Linked DNA regions of Cricetulus griseus. The protein of the gene in region 1 interacts with the protein of each later gene in a pairwise test. Links are inferred from orthologs where the notes say so. Each region holds a gene or a part of one and is shown on either strand. Other genes may lie near its edges.

Evidence for each region.
Region 2: the proteins of Furin (region 1) and Marchf1 interact in a protein complementation assay, tested with the Homo sapiens proteins (2 studies listed by BioGRID). The link is inferred for Cricetulus griseus from reciprocal best matches to the Homo sapiens genes FURIN and MARCHF1.

Annotation. Positions count from the first base shown.
Region 1 is NC_048596.1:117,205,664-117,209,582, forward strand, and holds the start of Furin (furin precursor), read left to right. Parts: upstream 1-1,114; 5' UTR 1,115-1,147; coding exon 1,148-1,324; intron 1,325-1,707; coding exon 1,708-1,806; intron 1,807-1,901; coding exon 1,902-1,997; intron 1,998-2,427; coding exon 2,428-2,556; intron 2,557-2,638; coding exon 2,639-2,715; intron 2,716-3,438; coding exon 3,439-3,527; intron 3,528-3,919. UniProt on the Homo sapiens protein: Ubiquitous endoprotease within constitutive secretory pathways capable of cleavage at the RX(K/R)R consensus motif. Mediates processing of TGFB1, an essential step in TGF-beta-1 activation.
Region 2 is NW_023276806.1:242,872,347-242,876,265, forward strand, and holds the start of Marchf1 (E3 ubiquitin-protein ligase MARCHF1), read left to right. Parts: upstream 1-1,465; 5' UTR 1,466-3,919. UniProt on the Homo sapiens protein: E3 ubiquitin-protein ligase that mediates ubiquitination of TFRC, CD86, FAS and MHC class II proteins, such as HLA-DR alpha and beta, and promotes their subsequent endocytosis and sorting to lysosomes via multivesicular bodies.

The DNA.
Region 1 (3,919 bases):
TTGGTTATGTATAAATATGCATGTATAGTTTTAAGAAAACAAAATGGAATCCGGTGTACATGCCATTTTATAATGTAGCTTTCTTTCTTTGGTTATTGTTTGTTTTTTTTTATTTTGAATGACTCAAGCCCTGATTGTATTCTTAACGGAGAAAGGCTTGTGAAGGGAGATGATGGGTCCATGTGCCTGTTTGGCTGACCTTTAGGGATAGGGGCTGGATTCTTCCAAAGACAGCTTGTGTGTATGTGTGTGTGTATGTGGTGAGGCTTTGGGGGATGGGGCAGGAATTGGATCCCTTGGAACTGGGGTTATAAGTAGTTGTGAACCATCCATACAGGTGCTAGGACTAGAATGCTAGTCCTCCGCAGGAGCAGGGGCTACATACATGTGCTCTTAAAGAAGCACTGAGCGTCTCTCCAACCCTGACAATTGTTTGGGGGGGGTTTTGTTTTGTTTTGAGACAGGGTCTCTTCCCAAACCTGAAGCTTGTGAATTTGGATAGGTTGGGTAGCCAGCAAGCCCCAGCAATTCTTTTGTCTTTGTCCTGCCCCTGGTGCTGGAGTTACAGACACAGGCTGCCAAGCCTACCTTTTTATGTGGTTCTGGGACTCCAGGCTCAGGTCTTCATGCTTGGGCAACAGTAATTGTCCCTACTGAGCCATCTTCCCAGAGTCTCGGGTGTTTGTTTGTTTGTTTGTTTGGTTTGGTTTTTCGAGACAGGGTTTCTCTGTGTAGCTTTGGAGCCTATCCTGGCACTCGCTCTGGAGACCAGGCTGGCCTCAGACTCACAGAGATCCGCCTGCCTCTGCCTTCCGAGTGCTGGGATTAAAGGCATGCGCCACCAACGCCCAGCATGTATTTGTTTGTTTTATCCACCTCCCCGAAACTCCTTTTTAGCCCCTGATTAAGCCTTGAAGACAGGAAGGAGAGTATTAGTATGTGATGAGAACCAACTGACTCTTCTTCCTTTCTTCCTCTTGCTCCCTCAGAGCCTGCCCTCACCCTGCTCCCCAGCCCTGCCCATCTCGGCCCCATGCCCCCGCCAGTCAGCTCCGGGGCCCTGGCAGTGAGCAGGCACGTGGCAGCCAAGGCCCTGTGACCAGGCCAGGGAGACAGGAGCTCCGGGGTCCCAGTCATCTGCCCCCCCATGGAGCTGAGGCCCTGGTTGCTATGGGTGGTAGCAGCAGCAGGAGCCTTGGTCCTGCTAGCAGCTGATGCTCGTGGCCAAAAGATCTTCACCAACACTTGGGCTGTGCACATCTCTGGAGGCCCAGCTGTGGCTGACAGCGTGGCACGGAAGCATGGGTTCCACAACCTGGGCCAGGTAGGTTTCTCACCTGGCCTGTTGGTGTAACTTCAGGACATTGCCTCGTGGTGGAGAGGGTGAGGGCATAAGCTTTTGCACCATAAAGTAGAGTGTCTTCCAGGGCATCTGGGCAAGAGGCAGATTCTGGGTGGCTGGGATGGGGTCTGTGGCATTGTCCTGTTAGTGGGCTTTTATCATAGTTGCTTAGAAAAACCAGCACATCTCAATGAGGGTGTCCCCCTCCATCCCCTGCATGTTCTCGTGGGTCTTAAGCAGGGAACAGATGCCCCATCACCACTTGTCTTTGTGAGCCTCCCCAGCAGCCTTGTCCACCCCCTTCTCTGCCTCCCCCAGGGACTGGCAGATGGAAGGCCCATCTCGGTCTCATTGCTTTATTGCAGATCTTTGGTGACTATTACCACTTCAGGCATAGAGCAGTGACAAAGCGGTCCTTGTCACCTCACCGCCAGCGACACATCCGGCTACAGAGGGAGCCTCAAGTAAGTGTGGCCCTGGCCCTTCCAGCTGCCACTGCTTCTGTTCTGAGCCCCCCTCCCTCCCCCACACACACCTATATCATCTATATCATCCCTAGGTAAAGTGGCTGGAGCAGCAGGTAGCAAAACGGAGGACCAAGCGGGACGTGTATCAGGAGCCCACAGACCCCAAGTTTCCCCAGCAGTGGTACCTGGTATGCTGCCTCCTTGGGTTCTGGTCTTCTTCCCCACCACTGTGAGGTGCTGTGAGTGGATGAGGCTTACTAACTCATTGGTTCTCAACCTTCCTAATGCTGTAGCTCTTTATTTAATACAGTTCCTCGTGTTGTGCTGACCCCCAACCATAACAATATTTTCATTGCTATTTCATAACTGTAATTTCGCTATTGTTATGAATGTAAATATTTCTGGAGATAAGAGGGTTGCCGGGGTGGAGGGGCTGGGGAGGGTGTTCACAACCCACAGCTTGAGAACCACTGTTCTAGCCCATCCTGCCTTCCCAGAAGCTATGCATTTCCAGTGGAAACAAGGAGTGGCAATGGGTGGTGATAGAGGGTTTGGGTGGAATGGGTTCTCTGAGTTAGCGACCAAATATCTCTGGTTATGGGCTGGTTGTCTCTGCAGTCTGGTGTCACTCAGCGAGACCTGAATGTGAAGGAAGCCTGGGCCCAGGGCTTCACAGGTCACGGCATTGTGGTCTCCATCCTGGACGACGGCATTGAGAAGAACCATCCCGACTTGGCAGGCAATTATGTGAGGAATGGAGGAGAATGGTGGTGATCCCTCGGTGGGCAGTGTGGTGAGGCAGCTTCTGATGATGGCCCTGTCCTTACAGGATCCTGGAGCCAGTTTTGATGTCAATGACCAGGACCCTGACCCTCAGCCTCGGTATACACAGATGAATGACAACAGGTGAGAAATATCACGCTCCCGCCTCTGAGCGTCTTCCCTCTTACCAGTTAAGGACACAAGGGTGAGTCTGATGTCACAAGTCCCACCTAAAAACTGAAGTCTTTCTGGGCATGGTGGCGGCTCCTTTAATCAAACTGGCACTGGGGACGGAGAAGTTGGCAGATCTCTGTGAGTTTGCTCTACATAGTGAGTTCCAGGCCAGCTAAGTTACATAGTGAGACCCTATCTCAAAAAAACACCAAGATGGGCATTGGTGGCGCACGCCTTTAATCCCAGCACTTGGGAGGCAGAGACAGGAGGATCTCTGTGAGTTCCAGGTCAGCCTAGTTCACAGTGAGTCCTGGGACAGCCAGAGCTACACAGAGCAACCCTGTCTCTAAAAAAAGAAAAAACAAAAACAAAAACAAAAAAAACCCCAACCCCCTCAACCCCCCCCCAAGAAAAACCCACAACTGAGTCCCTGTTTATAGTCCTGGTCCCCCAAGGGAGTTTTGTTTTTGTTTTGGGGGACATGGTTTCCATATGTAGCCCTGGCTGTTCTGGAACTTGCTCTGTAGACCAGGCTGGCCTCAAACTCAGAGATCCACTGCACCAGGATCCAAGGGAGGTTATGATCATCGCAAAGAGGATGGTGGCCCCACAGGGAAGAGTGACTGATGTGACTCAGGGTTACCTGCTGTACTCTGTCCACACCCACTAATGCCGTATTCTTGATCTCGGCAGGCACGGCACTCGGTGTGCGGGTGAGGTGGCAGCAGTAGCCAACAATGGTGTCTGTGGTGTAGGTGTAGCTTACAACGCCCGAATTGGAGGTGGGTATGAGCCTTGGCCCTGGGTCCAACATTGAAGGTGGGGGGACCTCTCATGGACGTTCTCTCTGTCTACCCCCCACCTTCCACGATGGAGCTTTTGGCAGCATGCTGGTCCTTAGCAAATGGAAAAGCTGGACTCCCATGCTGGTAGCATGGTGGAGTGGGATAGGAGCCTCTCAGCAGAAGTCTCCTCCCTTAATCATATCACAGCCTTCGATCCCTGCTCCTCTGAGGCCCAAGGCTTTCTAGTGAAGAATGAGTGGCTTGGGGAGACAGCATCCCCTTTCTTCTTTGGGTCCTGCTCATGAGAAACAGTGGCAGACAATAGATAGGAGCTTTGGGTTTCCCAGCACTGGCCTCTCCTCTCTCTTGCTCCTCCTGGGGTTCAGGCT
Region 2 (3,919 bases), on another chromosome or scaffold:
TATACATATGTGTATCCATGCAAGAAAGGGGGAAAGAAATGCTTGTGGTAAGATGATTTTCTTTAAAAAATCCCCTCATTTAAACATCCCACATACTCCTCCAATCTCTTTCAAATTCATGCCCTTTTCTTTCATTGTTATTGCCAACTTCTAAGATCCAGTTCTTAGGGAGAAATATATTCCTTTCAAAATAACTGCTACCCCAAGACAATACACCTCTTCACTCAACAGGCCAGACATATTATTAAACAACATTAAGCAATAATATAAATAGTATTTTAATGCCTGTTATTAGAGGATGAAACCAAGGCACAATTTTATTTTCAAGTCTTATTAAGAAATATATGTCTTGAGCCACAGCTAATATAGATACTGATTCCATTTATGGATTGCAAAAAAGTACATTGAAAATCTTCCTGTAAATTATCCATTGCTTTAGGTACCCTGAAGGACATTTATGATTATGGAAGAGCAAAAAAATCTCAACATAAATGGGCATTTTTAAAAAGTTGATTTCAAAATGACCAAAATCATACATGTACCCCAGCCTTCCATTGTGCTAGAACTACAAGGATATAAGATTTCTGCAATGCATTCACATCATAAGAGAATAAATTTCACTGTAAAATGTTGATTGCAACCATTAGGGGGGACTTAAGGGCTTTGATGGAAGAAACATTGATGGAAGAAACCATGCAGATGGTAGTGGAGGTAATAAGAGAACTAAAGTGAGAAAAGGAGCCTGAGATATAACTGAATTGTTACAGCCTCATGTGAAAGACAGATTTACTGAGATGATGGGAACATTCCTGAAGTGACAACAGAGAATTTGGAGAATGCCTGAACTTAGTTGATAAAGCAATGGTAGAACTGATTGACTACATTTTTAAAAGATGTTATATTATGGTTAAAATAATGTCCAACATTGGGGAATGCTACAGAGAAATGTTATGTAAAAGAAAGTAAAATGATACAACAGATGTTATTCCAGATGTGTTTTAAGAAATAATCACAGCCACTCAACTTTCAGCAATCATGTCTCTCAAGAAATGGGGGTATCTGATGGGGAATGTACTGTGTATATTTATCTGATTGATTGTTAAATAAAGTTCTGTTTGGCCAATGGCAGCAAGTTAGACAGGACTGGGAGTCAAAGAGGATTCTGGGACATGTAGTAGATAAGTGGTGATCCAGGCAGGAAGTGACATAGCAAGGAGACTCATATCTAAGTGAGGAAATAGGAAGTGAACCCTTTTTCCTCTTCCTCCTCCAGCAGTGCAATATGATCCACCGGCAAGGAGGGACTCCAATAAGGCATCTGATAAGATAAGTCTTATAAAGTAGATATGTATGATAATTAAGACTGAGCTAACAGATGAGAATCCTAGTCATTGGCCAAGCAGCATTGTACCTAATATGTCTCTGTATTATTTTGTTCCTTCCACACGGCAACAGAACTCAGGTGGCTGGCAGAGACCGCACACATGGCGGTAGGGCTCAGGCGGCTTTTGGCAGAAAGATTTATCTTAACAGGTATCCTTATGGAGATACCCGCCCCACACACACACACACTCCATGAAGGCTAAAATGGTCGCATGCACTTTTCATGGCTGCAGTATTTCCTAATTAAGATCTATGTATTGCTATTTTGTAAATAATGTTATTCTACATTAGATGGGCTGTAGTATCACATAAACACATTTTTATATGTTCCAGGAAAAAAAACAGTTCATGTGATCCATTTTATTACTTTGTTTACTTTATTGTGATAATCTGGAACAAATCTGCATTTCTAAGATGCACCTTGATGAAATCAGTGTTCAGTTCTGTGAAATTGCTAAAGAGGAAGAAGAATTTATATATACACACATTTAAAAATACTGTGAGGAGTCATGGTCTCAAGAGTGTATATTAACGTCAACACTTGCTTGAGAGGTCATGGTTTTTATTTTATTGGAAATGTTGGAGACCTGGATGAACAAAATTTCTCAGTACAAGACATTTTCACATTTTTTTTCTAAGCATTTATTCATGTTCAAGGCAGGCTGAATCACTCATAATATACTGCTTCCTGAAAAAAAAAAAAAAACTGAACACTTTGTAAACAAGAAGGGAAATCAAAGATGTCAAGAAATAACTACTGTCATGTCAGTATCAAACCACATGATTAAGAGGCTCTATAGGATATGCTTGAATGTGTGTGTGTGTGTGTGTGTGTGTGTGTGTGTGTGTGTGTGTGTGTGTGTGTGTGTATTTCTTTTTATTTAAAGAACCCTGATGAAACCAAATTGGGGGGGTCTTTTTTTTTAAGAGATTTTTGTTGTTGCTTTGCCTGGCCTTTTTTTTAAAATCACTTTTTTTTAAAACAATCTTTTCTCATTTTACATACCAATCCCAGTTTCCATCCCCCCTCCTCCTTATCCCCCCTCTTTTCCCCACCCCACCCCCTATCCACACCTCATAGTGAATGAGGCTTCCTATGGGGAGTCAAGGAACTCTAGCACCTTACTTTGAGGCAGGATCAAGGCCCTCCCCACTATACTAGGCTAAGCAATGTATCCCTCCATAGGGAATGGGCTCCAAAAAGCCAGTTCAAGCACTAGGGATAAATCATGGTTCCACTGCCAGTGGCCCTACACACTGCCCAAGCCACACTACTGTCACCCACATTCAGAGGGCTAGTTTGGTCATATGCAGGTTTCCCTGCTCTCAGTCCAGAGTCATCAGTTAAGAGGATGTACTACTCTTGCAGAGTATCCAGTGTGGTTCTGGTATCCACCTTAGGCAGTTCAAGTCTAACTCCATCTCTAGGAGACTTGATACCTTCTTCTGGTCTTCACAGGAACCTGCACTCACATGCACATTCCCTCACAAAAACACATACTATCACAGTATAACATAGCTAAATATATAGAGATAAATAGGTTGTATGATTTTAGGGTTTTCTGAATTTGCTTTGAGTTAAATTTAAAAATTACTTAAGAAAAATCAGCCACTTTGAAGAAAGGCTAAGTACTCTTATAAAAATTGGAAAACACTTTTAAATTGCCAAAGTTGGTGTAATTTTTCAGCTAAATTGTTCTGTAAAAATTCCTATTTTGAGTTTATAATATGCATCTATGTAGTAATTTGGGACCATTAAGCCAGTTTTATTCATTTGTTCTTAACTTTCATATAGCAACTGTTGTTTTACATGTGTGGATAATTCAATAGTCAACAGAGAGAGTTCCCAGATAGCCAGAGCTACACAGAGATACCCTGTCTTAAAAAATAAAAACAATCAATGGTTTTAAAATTTCTTGACTGTCCCTTAAAATATGTCACACGAATCAGTAGTTCATTGCTTCCAATATAGTTTTCAACATTTTTTTTTTTCTGACAGAGATGATAGGCTACACACGCACGCACGCACATCCTCCTTTTAATACTTTTAAAATAATGACTTGACTGAAACCCACAATTGTTTCATGTTTTGTTTTTAGCAGATTTTAGGCTTCTTTCTCTGTTAGCTAAAGTGATACTTTGCATTTAAGGACAGCTCAAGAACATAGAGAAGCACAAACATGTGGATGCTCATTTGCCATGGCACATGTTTGGTGGCTAGAGGGTTGATGGTCCTTGCCTTTCACATTTTTTAAGATAGGGTCATGGTGTTGCTGTGAAGACTGGGTACTTGACTTTCAAGAACCTTGGGATTCTCCTGTCTCTGCCCCTACGACATGACTCTCTGCTTCTATGGCCATAGGAGCATCTGGGTTCATACTGCCCACTGGCCAAGCTATACATGGGTATGGGGATCCAGGCTCTAGTTCTCATGCACAGCAAATGCTTCCCACTCAGAACCATCTTCTTACCATCCCTAAATCACTTTTTTGTGGTGTTAGGAATCAAATTTAGGGTTTGTTTCACAAATGCACTA